2 linked regions of the Drosophila melanogaster genome follow. The protein of the gene in region 1 interacts with the protein of each later gene in a pairwise test. Each region holds a gene or a part of one and is shown on either strand. Other genes may lie near its edges.

Evidence for each region.
Region 2: the proteins of CG30467 (region 1) and RabX6 interact in a two-hybrid assay, tested with the Drosophila melanogaster proteins (one large-scale study listed by BioGRID).

What each region holds. Positions count from the first base shown.
Region 1 is NT_033778.4:15,533,567-15,541,886, forward strand, and holds CG30467 (uncharacterized protein), read left to right. Parts: upstream 1-4,608; 5' UTR 4,609-4,747; coding exon 4,748-5,953; intron 5,954-5,987; exon of another isoform or gene 5,988-6,011; coding exon 6,012-6,371; 3' UTR 6,372-6,448; downstream 6,449-8,320. Other genes in the region: CG30471 (uncharacterized protein), read left to right, coding at 1,629-1,959, 2,025-2,862, 2,929-3,294, 3,356-3,902, 3,959-4,084; CG8187 (uncharacterized protein), read right to left, coding at 6,464-6,837, 6,891-7,074, 7,134-7,706; Vha36-1 (vacuolar H[+] ATPase 36kD subunit 1), read left to right, coding at 7,971-8,320.
Region 2 is NT_037436.4:687,234-694,882, forward strand, and holds RabX6 (RabX6), read left to right. Parts: upstream 1-3,283; 5' UTR 3,284-3,386; coding exon 3,387-3,566; intron 3,567-3,715; coding exon 3,716-4,177; coding exon of another isoform or gene 4,178-4,204; 3' UTR 4,205-4,718; downstream 4,719-7,649. Other genes in the region: hiro (highroad), read right to left, coding at 1-139, 569-635; CG32483 (uncharacterized protein), read right to left, coding at 1,352-1,647, 1,702-1,887, 1,941-2,726, 2,797-2,848; Vti1a (vesicle transport through interaction with t-SNAREs 1a), read right to left, coding at 4,789-5,387, 5,452-5,545; CG13894 (uncharacterized protein), read right to left, coding at 6,050-7,636.

The sequences.
Region 1 (8,320 bases):
TCGATTGCGAATCTTACAAAAGTAAATAAACAAGACAAAAATACTGGTAAACTAATATTTTTTGGAATAAGAGCGAGTGCCAAGGACAGTTCTATATTGATTGGATTATTGTTTGAAAAGTAGGTCACTTCGATTAGTTGCAGATCCCGGATTGAAATCGATCCTTGACCCCCAAACGCGATCATAAGCAGGCAGTGTCAAAATATAAATCACCATTTTTCCTACAGCCATTCCATTAAAAACCAGCGTGCAGCAAACATGGCAAAACCAGAGCCAGTTCGCGAATATTAGTTACAAAACCCATCGTTTGTCCAAAGAAAAAACGAGGGAAAAAGAAACCAAACTGGGCGATCGGGATCCGCAAAGTTAAGGTGAAGGTTCATTTGCATAGGCAAAAATCGGAAAATAATATAATAGTGGATGCGAAGCCAAGCGCAGATTTACGATTTACCCTTGAAATGGTTTCATCGAATAGCCATTAGCTGCCATAAAATGCAAACTGGCTATCTGGGGACTTACAACTGCGAATCTCGACGACGTCTTCGAGAGCAAAGAAAACATTAGCCATATTATATTTATATTTTCGATAATTTTTGGCCCACGCCTGCTGCCAAATTGGCAAATCGCCCGGGGGACTTATTCTCGAATTTCTACCTCAATCAGCCAATGCAAACAACGAATTTATTTGGAATGAGTACTTTGGGCAAACGACAATAAGATGCCATACGCCTGGTCAAGCTTAATGTATGCAAGTAAATTCTGGAGACACCAGATGAAATGATCGTAGCAATATGTACCAGGCCATAGTCGTTGACCTTTGCAGACATTTAGTGGTAATAACACTGAACTTGGTGGCTTCAATAGTTGGCAATTGAGTTTCCATGAATCAGCGCGCAAGTGACAAGTTCGACAGTTTTTGCCTCGGGCATCCGTAAACCTTCGGGTGACTGTTCATTGTAGATACAGTATCTCACGAATTTCTCGTGAATCGAACTAATCCGATACATTGCAGCTGACATTGAGACGCACTTACTTGTTCGGATGCGGCTAATTGATATTTGAATTGAGCTCTAAAGTCCTCCACTTGGCCACCACACCACTTCCATGTTCTGCGATTTTCCTTTTTAACCCTTTTAATGTAAAGAATATTAATTAGTGAAAAAATGTAAGATCTCACATTAAATAGCTCTCTAAAGAAAGTTCTAGATATAAGAAAACCTATATATATTGTAAATGTTTCTGAACGAAATACGTTTCTTTAGCCCATTAAAGCATTGAATCTGGAATAAATCACGCATTATTTGGACAGCTATTTCAATAAAGATACATTCGATGTTACCTCTGTGATCAATTTAAACAAACAGTGAAAGTTGGTTTCTTAAAAGGTGCTGATTTTAAGGAGGATAAGAAATTAGGAAATAAATTGATTGGGATCTTAAAGGGTTAACTAATTTGAAAAACATCATTACTTCGTTACGCGTCTCGTAAATTTTTTCCGGTAGGAAGTAGACGTAACTTAAGGTCCAACTCGGTTTGCTTTTCGTAACTCGAGTGCGTTCGTATTGACGGGTCAACAATTAAACACCTCTTACTTTTCACAGCTGCCGCTTCGTTAGCGGTTCCTCGGCATGGAAAAGCACTGGAGATTGGTCTTGATCATCAGCATCTGGATTTTAGTGGTGAATGCAGCCGTGAATGAGTCCACTTTGCGACGGCACCGCTACGAGTACGGATTTCTCAACGGCAGCCTGGAGTTGTCCCCAGAAATTATCTCAACGGATATTCGGGGAAAAGAAGCAGCTGCCATCGAATCACCGCATGAACCCCATCTCACCAGGAGCTCCGTCATCTTCGGGCTTACCAAAGTGGCCAACGAGAGCAATGTGACTCCCAGCTGCTACGCCCACTTGAAGCAAGTGCAGCGGGGAATCCTCAGCAGGCAACCATGGGCCATGAAGGGTGAGTGACCAGAACTTTTAGTATATATATAAATATATACAATATAATTTTCCGTATATCTTTAGTTTTAGATGCGTCGGGAACCAAGCCATCCGGCTTTGTGTTCGGCCAGAACTACTGGCTGGGCAGTCGGGATGGATGTGAAGGTGTCCGTCGGCCCGTAGGCATCACCTTGTCGCGGAACTACGAGCGAGTAATGCACTACAGCATCCTCACGCAAAGTGCTCCCTTTGGGATGGACTACCGCGTGATATACATGCGCCACCGCTCACCGTGGCAGGTGGAGATTAAGGTGATGTCCGAACAGGTGCTCCACATTGGATTGTGCCTGCCCAGCTCCTGCAGCTCCGAGGAGGTGAAGCAGCTGGCCAGGTATTATGTGGCCGGAGATTTGTTCGCCGCGGATGATATGTTCGATATGAAGCCGGAGGTGCTCTACATGAAGGACCTCCGGCTGAGCGAACGCTTCTACCAGAGGCTGACCTTCCGTTTGGTGGTGGCCGCCATCCTGGTAACCGGTGCCCTAATGCTCTGCGCCCAGCAAGTGCGGGTGGCCAAGAGGGCCGATGAGCCGGATCTGGGTCTGGCTCCGGTGGAATCAGAGTTGTGGCAGGCACTGGATACCCTCTTGAAGTGGCAGCCTTTTCAGAGTTTCGTGTCCTGTTTCGATGTGGCCAATAACTGGCGGAAGATCTCCGCCATGAGGGAGAACCAGCCAGGCGAGATTCCCATTATGAATGGTCTGCGATCGGTGTGTGCCATCTGGATTCTGATCTTCCATGTCGTGTGGTACATGTACTTCACTGTGCACAACAAAACGGTACTGATATCCTATGCGGAACAGGTCTTCTTCCAGTACGTCTCCACAGCTCCACTTCTCGTGGACGTCTTCTTTACCATCAGGTAAATATAATCATTCGATTATCTAATGTATTTTGCTGATCCATTTGAAAACAAAAAATTGTCCAGTGGCTTTTTGCAAACGTACAACTTCCTGAGAAATGAGCAGCAGCTGGACGCAGTGCGTCGCAATGGCCTGTGGGGCAATGTGAAGCTCTTTGGCAAGCTGCTGTTCCATCGCTACCTGAGATTGGGTCCTCTCTACTTGGTGGTGATGGGCAGCGTGGACTTGGCCTTCGCCTACATCGGAGACGTTTCCGTTTTCCACATCAACGAGAGATTCGACGAGTTGTGCCCACAGCACTGGTGGAGGAATCTACTCTTCATCCAGAACCTCTTCGATCACCGCGAAATGTGCGCCAATTGGAGTTGGAGCCTCGCCTGCGACATGCAGTTCTTCCTGCTGGCAAACATCGTGCTCTTTATTTACGCCAAGTGAGTTTGGATTTAAAATCGCAAGGAAATATATTATTATTTTCATTATATTTCTATCCAGGCATGAAAAGCTAGCCAAGGCAATTACACTCACTGGACTAATGGGCACGATAACGTGGTCCTACGGCATTGGAATCGCCAAGAAGTTCGAGTTCTCCTTCGACTCCACCTATGCGACTGGCACTCAGATATACACGAGTCCCTTTGTAAGAGTTTTGCCCTATATCGTGGGAGCCATAGCCGCATGGTATTACCAGGAGCAGCGATTCCAAGTGAGTGAGCTGAGTGAACGCCGGATATGCCGGTGGTGGCATTTCAGTCTCAAGGTGTTCGTGGGCTGCATCTACTCTACGGTGAAGCGGGATCTGGGTTACCTTATCACCATATCGCTATTTGTTCTGGGTCGCGCTCTGTTTTCCCTCACCATTTGCTGGATGATCGTGGGCAGTGCATCGGGTACTGGCGTTTGGTGGTCACGCCTGCTGGAGGCCAAGTTCTTTCAGCATTTGAACCGCCTGTCCTACGCCATATATCTATTAAATCCCCTGGTGATTGCCCTCGTTTACAGTCTGACCAGTACGAGCTCTGCAGTTGATCCCTTTCTGCTGGTAAGTTGCATTCTCATTTGATTTTGCTTTTTAATAATATTGAGTTGTTTCTTTAGAGCGTCATCTGCTGCGGGTTTACGATGATCGTTTATCTGGCCTCCATCGCCTTTTCGCTGGCTTTTGAGCTGCCCTACAGCAATCTGTCTAGTTTGCTGCTCAAGGGAAAACCAAAAACCTCATAAACTGTGATTACCTTTCATTGTTAGCATTACATCTAAGTCATTTATTAATAGAAAGTTATGGTTATAAAATAATGTTATCTTTTATTGGAATTTTCGAATTTAGATATAATATTAAAAGAATAATATTATAGCAACGTTGCTGTTGGAATTTTTGAATTTAGTAACAAACATACTAATAATACGATATTTAATAAGTGTAGGCGCCAATGTTTTAAATTTCCTTGTGGATTCCATTGGATTCCACAACGTGTGGTGATGATTAGGTTTGCACCTTCACTAACTAATGAAATCCACACTTTTGGTTGCTTTCAAAGAAGTTAAAGGTAGTTTTGGTTGTTTTAAGTTGTAAACTGATATTGTTAACCAGCTGACTAACTTTCCCAGTTCAGAAGTATCACACATTTGAGCAATATATTTAAACGATCAACCCACCGAAGTGCGAGAAAGTGTGACCTGCTTATGTAAAAGTGATTTAGATACCGAGCTTTTCCGAACTGACTTTTCCAAAGCTTAAGGTATTTTTTATGAAAGAACCAACGGACCCACTGACAGCGTCTAAAAAAAAAGATCTTGTCCAAAATATATTGATTAGTACCACTGCCATTCTGCATTCTGCCAAACGAACCCGTTAAACAGTTTGCCCAGACCCGGATCCAGATCGAAATGCCCAAGGAAGAAGCGGAGCCATCGGCGAGTGGTCTTGCGGTGGCCGCCAAGCAAAACGATGTGCCATCCGCGGAAAACTCGAATCACAAGGAAAGCGACGCATACGCCTCCGCCTCTGCCAGCGCCAGTAGCGCCTCGACCACGCCCCCACCCGCCCAGGAAGACGCCGAGGAGGCGGAGCTGCTGGAGCGTATGCGCGGCGATGCAGTCGGCAACACCATGTACAGCAGTCGATTCATCCTGAAAACGGTGATGAGGGTGGGAGAATTACTGCGGCATTCAACACTGGATCAGCAGCTGGAGGATGACCTGTGCAAAGTGTGGGACATGTCGGTGTCCCCCGAAGTGGTCACACTGCTGCTGGAGAACGGAGCCATTGATCCGATCATGTACACCCTGGTGGCGGGCTGTGAAGATGTGCGGCTCTACGAGATTCTTATCGGACTGCTGGGCAATATGTGCGCCCAGGTGGAGTGCGCAGAGATATTGGCCTGTGACCGCTACACGTTGGAAACCCTGTTCAAGATGACATACTGCATGGACACCGCCATGTTGATACAGCTGATGCGACTCTTTCAGTACATCATGGCCCATGTGCTTAGCGGCAAGGAGAAGTTCGCTGTGAACTGGTACATCTGCTTTGCTGCCTTTGAGAACTCCGCGCAGAACCTGGGCAGGATATTGCAACTGTCCGTTAGCGATGAACTGCTAGTAGCTGCACTGAAGGCCACAAATGCTGTGCTGGCCAGTTGCGCCTTGGTGGAGGAGGAAAACGCAAACTCCACGTTGAATCTAAAGCCTTTTGCGGAGGTCTTTCTAGTGCCAGAACTCTGCGAGGGGGTCAATAGCGCGTTTTTGCGACTCATGCGCGATGATCAGACAAAATTGACCGACGAGGAAGCTGGCGAGGACAACGAAGATGCAGAAGTGCCAGCGGCCCACGACAGTGATGAAGATGCCGACGTCGGTTACGACTCGTGCGGACCAAAAATAACCTGTGATGTGGAGATCATACAAACCTACCTCAATATATGCACCATTCTGGTCCAACTGCCAGAGGCGCAGGCCTCCATGGATGTGTATGCACCCAGTATAGTCAGTTGTCTAGCGCGAATACTGCAGTTTTTGCAGCAGCCTCTGCAACTCATTCCATTAGGCGAACGCCAGGAGGAGTATCTCGAGGATCTGGCGCACATTTGGAGTGTAAGTTTGGAAAAGATACTTAATATTCGACGTTCTATTTAAATATTTATTTTTGCAGCGCCTGAAGTACTTCTATCACAAGGAGGCCTTCTTAAATCTTTTGGAATTGTGGTATAGACTTAAACAGCACATTGACAACTACACGGGGGGAAGTGATCCCGACGCCAATGAGTTCGAAGAGGACGAAGAGGAGGAGGATGACGCTCCAAAGGAGCAGTATGTGGAGAACGCCTTGAAGTTGCTGCGCCTGTTGGCATGTATGGTGATAAAAGCGGAAAACTCGGATCTCCAAGAGATTGGCGATGAAAAGGTGCAACTGTTTGTGTCTGCACTCAAAGCCGGAAAGGAAGAAGCCATTTTCTCAAGGGCACTTGAATGCTTAAAGGATAAAGTGGCTAAGGAGTCGGGCCAAGCCTAAACAACATGCCTCCATGATGGATAAAGCAAAAATGACTGAGATTGTAGCTTGCAGCACAATATATTCTTAACTTAGTTAGTCTCTGTCTTTACCTAAGGTAAATCGTCCAAGGTGCCGGTAGCCTTCAACTTATTACGCATCATATCGCTCCATGACTGTTTTCCCAGGCGCACGCCCTTGTCGCCTGTGCTGCTTACTTCCAGTCGATTTGTATTTGGATTGCTTAGCACGAATTTGTTCTTGCTCTCGTTGAGAGCATGGGCTACATGCTCCAGTTCGTTTTCCAATTTCACTTCGGGGGCTGTTACCTCGATGTGAAGATTCTGCTCTATGGCTTGGGAAATGTGTATGATAGCCTCTTCTAATAAGTTCTCGGCGTCGATTTTGTTGCTCCCCACTAGCTCAGAGAGTTGGACATTTAAATTTCCTCCTTTGGTAGTTATTTGAATATTGCCATGTACTCCAGCTGAAATTGAAAGTTTTTAGCATGATGGTGTTATTCTTCGTTGTTTCGCATACTCATATTGAGATCCGACGACTGATGGACGTGCACTTCGCTGCTTTTGTGGACATTCTTGAGCTCCAGACGCCCAGTTTGTGTCTGAAACTTTGACTTTTCCACATAACAACAATCGGTTACAATACTGCCAGCTTTGGTGGAACAATTCAAGCTGTCTCCTTGCAACTTATCCATCGCAATGTTCTAAAAAAGAAATATAAAGGTTAATAATAAGATCAGATTGATAGTAAATTTTTTCTCACCCCATTTTGTGACTCTATTTGGGTAATCTTGCCCAGCAATGTGCCCTGGCAATTGATGTTGCCATTTTCACTGTACAAGTTTATATGGGTGGCCTTGATATTTTTGGTAAGGATGCCTTCCTTTGCTTTGACTTGCAGCAGTTCACTCTGTATGCCTTCCACTCGCACACTACCTTTTGCGTCCACAGAGACATCGGAACGCACAGGTATTTGCAGATGGCATTCAAGCTTTGAGGGCTGCTCCGCCAGTTGTTTAACCACCACATTGACCACCTTGTCCTCATCGGTTACCTTCACATCGAGAGAGACATTCGAGTTCTTGACATGGCCGCCAACCAGTTGGGCGATAAACACATCCCCGCTGGTATACTGATGCACATCCGCGGGCTGGATGCGCAGGAAAACATCGGACTTCACGTTGATCCTGGCAAAGGGGTTTACATAATGCAGGATCTCCTGATGGACCATCCGCATGCTCACGGCCATGGCTGGTTTGATGTGGGCTCGCGACTTGTTCGCGTATTGGCGTAGATGGTTGTTTAAATGTGTCAACCACACGCGTTGCAGAAGCATTATAAATCCAATAAAGAAATGGAATTTATTAGATTTGTTTACTTTTAAATGCAAAATCAGCTGTGGCTGCGTATTTTGCAGTACTGTATCTAAGCGCACTACCCAGCACCAACTGGTTATCGATTGGCTACGGGCAGTAGCCAACACTGTCATCCGTCATTTTCCAGTTGGAGTTTTTCAGTGTTCTGCGACGGTTGCAGTTTTCTTGATACGCAGTTGAAAATTGTTTAGTCCAGCCAATTACCATCCGAAAAAAACAGCAAAATGTCCGGAAAAGATAGGCTACCGATTTTCCCGTCCCGTGGTGCCCAGATGTTGATGAAGGCCCGTCTGGCTGGAGCCCAGAAAGGTCACGGTCTGCTCAAGAAGAAGGCGGATGCCCTGCAGATGCGATTCCGTTTGATTCTGGGCAAGATCATCGAGACCAAGACCCTGATGGGTGATGTTATGAAAGAGGCAGCCTTCTCGCTGGCGGAGGCCAAATTCACGTCTGGCGACATCAACCAAGTGGTGCTGCAAAACGTGACCAAGGCCCAGATCAAGATCCGCACCAAGAAGGACAACGTGGCTGGTGTCACTCTGCCCGTTTTCGAGTCCTACCAGGACGGATCCGA
Region 2 (7,649 bases), on another chromosome or scaffold:
TGGAGCCAAATGGCCAGCGGACGCTCCGTGTAACTGGAGACATTGGCGGTGGTGTAGTACAGCCAGTAGAACATGTGGGCGCCAGTCCTGACATCCACAAATCCCCAATCCTGATCACCGGGTCCATAGCCCTTGCGTGCTGAGAGTATATTGAATTATAGCTCATTTCGATTAAATAGTTATTAATATACAAAGCTCTTTGATTTTGTAATTTCATGATAGCCCCTGATTTCTAGGGAACACTTGAGAAATCTAGCCTTTAAGTATATTAAACGGCTGCACGAGTAGCCATTTAGATAAGATTAATTGTTATAGATAGTGTAGATAGTTGATTGTATTGTCTTATAACAAACCGAATAGCGGTTGGTCACTGTATCTTTTACAATGGTAATAAGGTCTGTCCCCAAACGATTCATAAGTATTTCAATCTACGGATATAAAAGTAGGTAAAAAAGTCTGTAACAGATAATTCTGTTGGCCTGTTCTACAAGTCGTAAAGAACCGTTTGTTTTGGAACACTTTCTCACTGATTAGCACCCCTAATTGGAATACAAATCACGATTCTCACCGTCAACGGAAGCCAAGCCGGCAAATCCCAGTAGGGCCAAAAGTGCGATGATAGCGCGTCCAGCCATGTTGCACCAGTGTTTCAGTTCCAATTCCAAGAGACACCGATCGAGAGACAACCGCACACTTGGCAGTTCCACTGCCAATTGATCGCTGGTTGCTCCCAGACATCGAAGGTAAAATAGCAACAGCCAGCACCTGACACACCTGGAATTCGTAATCTGCGGGCAGGGGAACTGTGTTTGCAGAGTATTTATGGCCCTTCGCTGGACGGTGACGCGGCTTTTTGGTCAATCTGTGCTTGTCACTCGTCCGATTTGCCGAATCTTTGTGTCATATATTTAGATAGAGCCTATGAAGCTCCAAAATCATCGCAAAGATTGCACTTTGCTATCTTGAGTGGGTTTTCCGAGGGCTTTTCCTATTATTTTTCGGTATCACTTGCGGTTTATCCCACGTGACATGCGTGAAAGATATCTAAGGTGTCTCCCAAAAACTCTTTTTAAATCATCAGCATTCTTTGATTGATTGACTATATTATTTTTAGGTGTTCATATAATCATATATGCATCAATTCTGGGCATTGCTTTTTAAAGAGCAGATTAAGACATACATTTGACATTTATCAAAATAACTAATAGGATAACTTCCCCAGCTTCTATAAGCAAAAAATCCATTACGATTTACATTATATACTTTCAGTAAAACACTCCTCTATTTTTAGACGAATATAGTATACAACTGGCTTGCATACTGAGTTTATTATAATTCAATTTAAATGAATTTAGCCAAATGAGGTAAACTCTCGAAGTACATGACTCATAGCCGCAGGGTTGTCCGCCGGAGCCATGTGACCACTTCGGTTGATCCAGAACATGGTAAAGTTACCGCCCGTCTTTTGATAGCCCTCCAAGATGCGATCCACCGTGATGCCATTGCGTGGAGCAGCCAGGTACTCGTCCTTTCGGCTCCAGTCCAGCTTGGCTATCCAGTTGACGGTGCCCGGTGTGGCGCAAATCAAATCCAGGCCACCGGAGAATACGCCGACCTTCAGAGGAGTCTTCTCCAGCAATTCGTTCACTGTCATTCAATGGATGTCAGACGCTTTCGTTATATAAGAAGTAATATCCCTACCAATGTGGATGACTGGCTTCATGAAGTCCGTTCTGTGGATGTCAAAAGTGGTCCCACTCTGCGATCCCCAGATGACATTCGAAGGTATACCCAGGGTTTCCGCCACCGGGCCCCGCATCAGATCCTCCAGTAACTTGGTTCGATCCTCATCAATATCGTATTTCACCATGGTGCGATACAGACGTTCTGCAGGGAAATATCATGGTTTGAAAAATATCGTATCGAAGTATTTGGTTCACCTTCGGAGGTCAAGGCCTTTGATCTCTGGTAGAGACCACCCTTTGTCTCCTTCAGCACGTTGTAGAAGTCCACACCCTTGGAGGCTTTCATCACCTCCCACTGGGTGTTGCCCCACTGATAGGTGGCCTGAATCCATCGCTCCTCCTCCACCAACTGAGCCGTGAAGTTCGCTGCCTCTTGAATGGCATTGTATCCCGCGTGGTCCACGATTCCCATTTCTCTGAGAAAAGGTCCCCATGCGAGCACGGAGTCGATGGGCGAGGTCCATGGATCCCCCAAAGCCACCGAGGTAAGGTTGCTCTTGACCTCACCACGCTTCTTGGCGTAGTACAGTTCGAGTGCAAACTCCGGCGCCATCTTTCCACCGTAACTCTCGCAGAATATATGCAGCGGCACCTCCTCGAACTCTGGATGCAGGGTATAGAATCCCTTCATCAGCTCAACCAAATCTAGAGCGATCTCCTTATTGGTGGCCGTGTAAAAGGCCGTGTTGTCCACGTAGCTAAAACCACTGCCTACGGGGTTGTCAATAAAGAGGACATTCATGTCCTTCACCCAGGTCCAGCTGCGCCAATCTCCGTACAAATCGACGGGCCCAAGTTCTTCAAAGTTTCCATACCCCGTCGAAGAGGCACCGGGACCTCCTTGGAGCCAAATGGCTAATGGTCTTTCGGTATAGCTCGAAACATTGGCGGTGGTGTAGTACAGCCAGTAGAACATGTGGGCACCGGGACGCACATCTACGTAGCCCCAGTCCTGCTCTCCGGGACCGTATCCGGGTTTGCCTAGGATGCGCCATTAGTTCATTTAAAGATTACCACATTTCAGAGATAGCGCTCGATTTACGATTCTTACCATGCGCCAAGGCGGCGAACAATGCCAGGAGTGCTACCAACCGAATCGACATTTTCAACTGAAAGTGATACTCAAGCGCACGGGCTTATTTAACGGGTACAGCACTATCAGCAGAACTTGACATCAGATAATAGTTTTTCAAAAATGATAACTTCTATCGATCTGGTTCTTTCAATCATTCAGAAGAGGGATGATAATCATTTTTGAATTTGTATATTCCCTTTTAAAAAGAAGTTGAATATCTGTTTATGTACGTATATTTAGGTACAACTAATGTTGAAACGATAACTTCCTCCATAAATAATCCCTTTTTCATAAACAATTTTACAATATTGTATATTATTATTATAATGGGTGGAATTGTTTTGCCTAAACTAAAACCAAATGCAGATCTCAACTGATAAGACCATTTGAATTCGAATAACTCGAATTATCGGTTATCGATAGCGTTCAAATGGCTGGCAACTCTGCGATGTTGGCTGTTTTTGCACAAACAGCTGTTGTCGCACTGTTGTTGTCGCCTTTGTGTCTGCAGGTGCAAAATAATATATTAATTGGATTAACTTGGGATTAATCGAGCGATCACAGCCATGGCCACGATGCGCATACCCAAACAAAAGGTGATCCTGTGCGGCGACTACGGAGTGGGCAAGAGCTCCCTGTTCCGGCGCTTCGCCACCAACACCTTCATCACGGATACGGACAGGAAATCCACGTTGGGACTGGACCACATCGATAGGGAATACAGTGTGAATGAAAAGCAGATCAAGGTGGGCTCGGGAACCTCTAAAAGGGCGTGATGGCTGAGATATGAATCCTTAAGCTCTTTAGTTCGATTTCTAGACGAAAGCCACAGTTCTTCAGACTTACAACTTATTGCGTTGTGAGACACTTATGTATATACCGTCTTCTTTGACAGCTCCAACTCTGGGACACCGGTGGCATGGAGCGTGTGGCCTCGGTCACATCCTCGTACTACAAGTTCGCCGAGGGAGCCATCCTGGTCTTTGCTTTGGACAACGCCGCTTCGTTCCACTCGCTGTCGCAGCACTTGCTGGACATTGTGACCTATGCAGAGAATGCCAAGATCTTCATCTGTGGCAATAAGAGCGATCTGGATGGCAGGGAGCCGGAGGTCAGCGATGAGGAAGTGGAGGCCTTCTGCGAGCAGTGCCACTCACTGATCAGTGCCACGTACAAGACCTCCTGTCGCAGCGGCGCCGGTGTGGAGGAGATGTTCCGTGACATCTCTAGGCAACTGGTCCACGCCAATCGCTCCAAAATGGAACTGCAGGCACTGGAGCACAAGAGCTTCCAGGTGGACACTGCGAGCAGCGGCGCGGCGACCAACGAGGAGGACGCCTCCTCCTGCGGCTGCTAGCAGTTGGGGAACATTGAGTTCGGCTAGGAACCCTTATTCCCGCCAGGCTCAATGCTCACGCAGAGATGCATTTTTACTGTTTCCTTTATTTATTGATAGCTTTCGGCTATGTTATGATTTTTAGATACGTACATGTTCAATTCGAATTTTTACGAAAAATACGTCCCGAACGCGAACACGAGTCATAGAGTAGGATTAGTTTCTATTAACCAGGCGCCAAACATTAACCACTTAAACTTTGTACACGTAAGCTAGGATGGCGGATACGCGAGTGATAGGTTAGAAATCTGCGGTAAGAATTAAAAAGTAATAGGAATTCCATCGATTAACAAGAAGGTCAATTTAATCTTAAAGGTAAAAGGACAACAAAATATATAGACATCGATTGACCGCAGATAACTACTCTAAGCTTCGACTCTTATTGCACGTAATACTCCATCCTATCTTATATAGATTAGTGCGTAATCTGCAGCTTTCTTCCACAGAATATCTCGTAAAAATAAAATATACTAAACAATAAATAATCAACTCACGAAATTGGAATGGACAGGCTTCTATAACATTTGAATTTGGGCTAAGATCATTGGCTATTGGTTTGCTAGCTAAAATTACTACGACGAGGCGGTGCTGCTTGAACTGGGTGCGAAGGTCAGATAGAGACTGACGCCCACGGCCACCACAAAGCAGACACCCACTCCATACAAGACCACCTTCTCCCGCAGGGCTCTTAACATCATGGTATTCAGAGTGCGAGAAGCTCTTCCCAGCTCGGCATTGGTTTCTCGAAGTCGAGCCCTGGCTCCCTGTAGAGTTTCCCTTTGGTGGTGCAGATCATTTAGGACCTGGGCGCCCAGTTGCTCCGTCTCCAAGGCCACTCTGTACCCTTCGGTTAACCTGTTGCCCGTCCGTTCAATCCTTTCCGAGTTGTCCAAGAGGCGTTGGCGTTGATCTGTACTTATGGACACATCCTCATAGCTGTCACCCAAGTCCAGAGTGGTGAATGTGTTGGCTTGGGAGCGCTGTTTGTCCTTGGTCAACCTGTACTCCGCCTGCAGCCGTTTCAGTTCTGCCTGGGCCACCTGCAGCTTTCCGTTGAAGCTGCTCCGCAGTCCAGGATTTAGCTCCCTCACCTCCAGACCCATCTGCTCCAGCAATTCCTGAGCCTCGGGCAAACTGGAGTCGATCTTGCTGCACAAATCATGGCGCTCGCCTGGAGTAAATGGACAAATGGTAATCACCATAATGTACAATCCATGGACAATCATCCCACTCACTGTTGTTGTTTTGCTGCTGCAGCCGTCCAATATGGGCCGTTATTTCTGCTATTAACGTGGCGTATTGCTGTTCGTATTGCTCCAGAAGCGACATTTGTGCGGTTTTTATTCTACCTTATTCAGTTGTTTATGGTATTTGTTCTGTTTTAGTTCGCGAAAATTACAGATTTATCGAAGAAAAGAAGTAAACATTGTCCAAGTGTGGCCGAGTCATGAGGTGAACAGTAATACAGCAATCTATAAATACTTTTAAGTCGTGGTCACTCTGATTTCGAGTCAGCGTTGCCATACTCATGTAAAAAACACTGCCAACTTCAAGGACTACAATATTCTCGTAAGAACTCAGATAAAACCAACTTCCGTTTTAAATACGTAAATAAAACACAAACATATCTATTATTTTATAAATTCCATTTTATTGTACTTAGAGTAATTAATAAATTAATTAATTAGGTTCAGCTTTATGCGAGTGGAGATTCTTTGTTAACCTAAGCAACTGTTTTGGCGGTAGTACGATTTAATAATACTACATGATACATATGTACACTGTTCATCACATTTATGTTTTGTGCTGTCCTGGTCCGCGATTAGAAAACTCTTAACCCTCGACCAGTGTGGCCTTGTCCCCTTTTCGGAGCACCAGTTCCAATTGGGACAGCAAGCCAATAGCCCGAAAGTTCTCCTTGAAGAGCACGAAGTCCTCCAGCGGTTTTAGGTACTCCAAGGCCTGGTGGTAGCTTTCCAACTCCTTCAGCATGCATAAAGCCTTCTTATCCTCGGGGTCTGGGGATGTGTGTCCATTGGTTTGGCTGCCGGAGGAGCTGGATCCATTGGGGATCTTTTTTGGCGAGGCGGGAGCAGAGGCGGGTTTGGTGGACGCAGCTCGAGCTGGTGCAGGTGAGTCCTTTCCCTTGGAAGAAAGGGCAGGCGTGGATTTGCCACTTGTTCCGCCTCCCTTGGGGGCGTTCTCCTTGCTGCTGGCACTGTCTCTTCCCCCGCTATTATTGTTGTTCTGCTCGTTGGGACTGGAACTTCGACTGTGCTTGCTGGTTAAGGTTGATTCTGCTAGCGGATATGGTGGTGAGTTCACCGCTGAGTTAATCTCTTGCACTTCGTCATCATCGGGTGACTCCATTTTGGGTCTCTTGGCCAACTGAACGGGCTGGAAGGGACTGGCCCGCTGCGGTGGAACATTTGGCGGCAATTGGGGCTGAAAGGGTTCCCTTTGAGGTGGCATAGTGGGTGGAAACTGTTGCATCTGCTGCTGCTGCTGGAGTTGCTGTTGCATTTGCTGTTGATGCCGCTCGAAATAAAAGTCGTTGAAGCTGGCGAACCCGGGGTGTGGAGTAGGATGTCCGGGATGTCCTGGAAACGGTGGCCATGGGTGGCCCATTTGATGCTGCTGCTGTTGCATATGTTGCTGCTGGAGGGCAAAGTGCTGCTGTTGCTGCTGCTGTTGCTCTTGATAGCTCTGCTCCTTTACATCCATACTGTCATCATCTTCTTCGTATTCTCCGTACTGTTGCATGTAGGTCATGTACTGCTCGGGCATCTCCTCCAGTTTGGCCACTCTTTCAGCGCTCGCGGGCGGAAAGAGATGGGCTAGGTCCTGTACGATGTCCGGGATCCACAGGGAGGATCCTAGTGGCTTCAACTGGTTGCTGGCTAGTTTTTGGGCAAAGCCTTGAAGATGAGTCTCTCGGAAACGGTTTAACCAGCGATTGTCTGCTATAAAGGATGTGCTCCCTATGACTTGTCTGGCATTCTCCGCCTTGTCCTTGATCATTCCGTGGGTAATGCTACCTCGCAGCTGGGGATTGATATTGGCCCTTACTAGCCATTCGTATACCACTGCATTGATGTAGGCGCACTTTCGGCTCCTCTCGATCTCCTCCACCATGGCCTGCTGCTCAACGGCCTCCAGGTTGGAGGGAACTTCCAGACGCAGGGTGGGCAGCGCATTCGACTGCAGTCGCCTGCCACCCAAGACACTGGGGTCAAAGTGCAGGGCACATACCACTGGCTTTTTGAAGGGCACAATTCGTCTTAGGGAGGCGTGGCACGCCTCCTTCCACAGCTTGTGGAAGGGGTTCTCCGGCCGGGGAAACGCAAAGAACTGCATACTCGGGTGCTGACGCGAATTGGACAAGCATCCGATGATGCAGCACCGCCGGATGGTCGGCATCTCGACCTGCGGA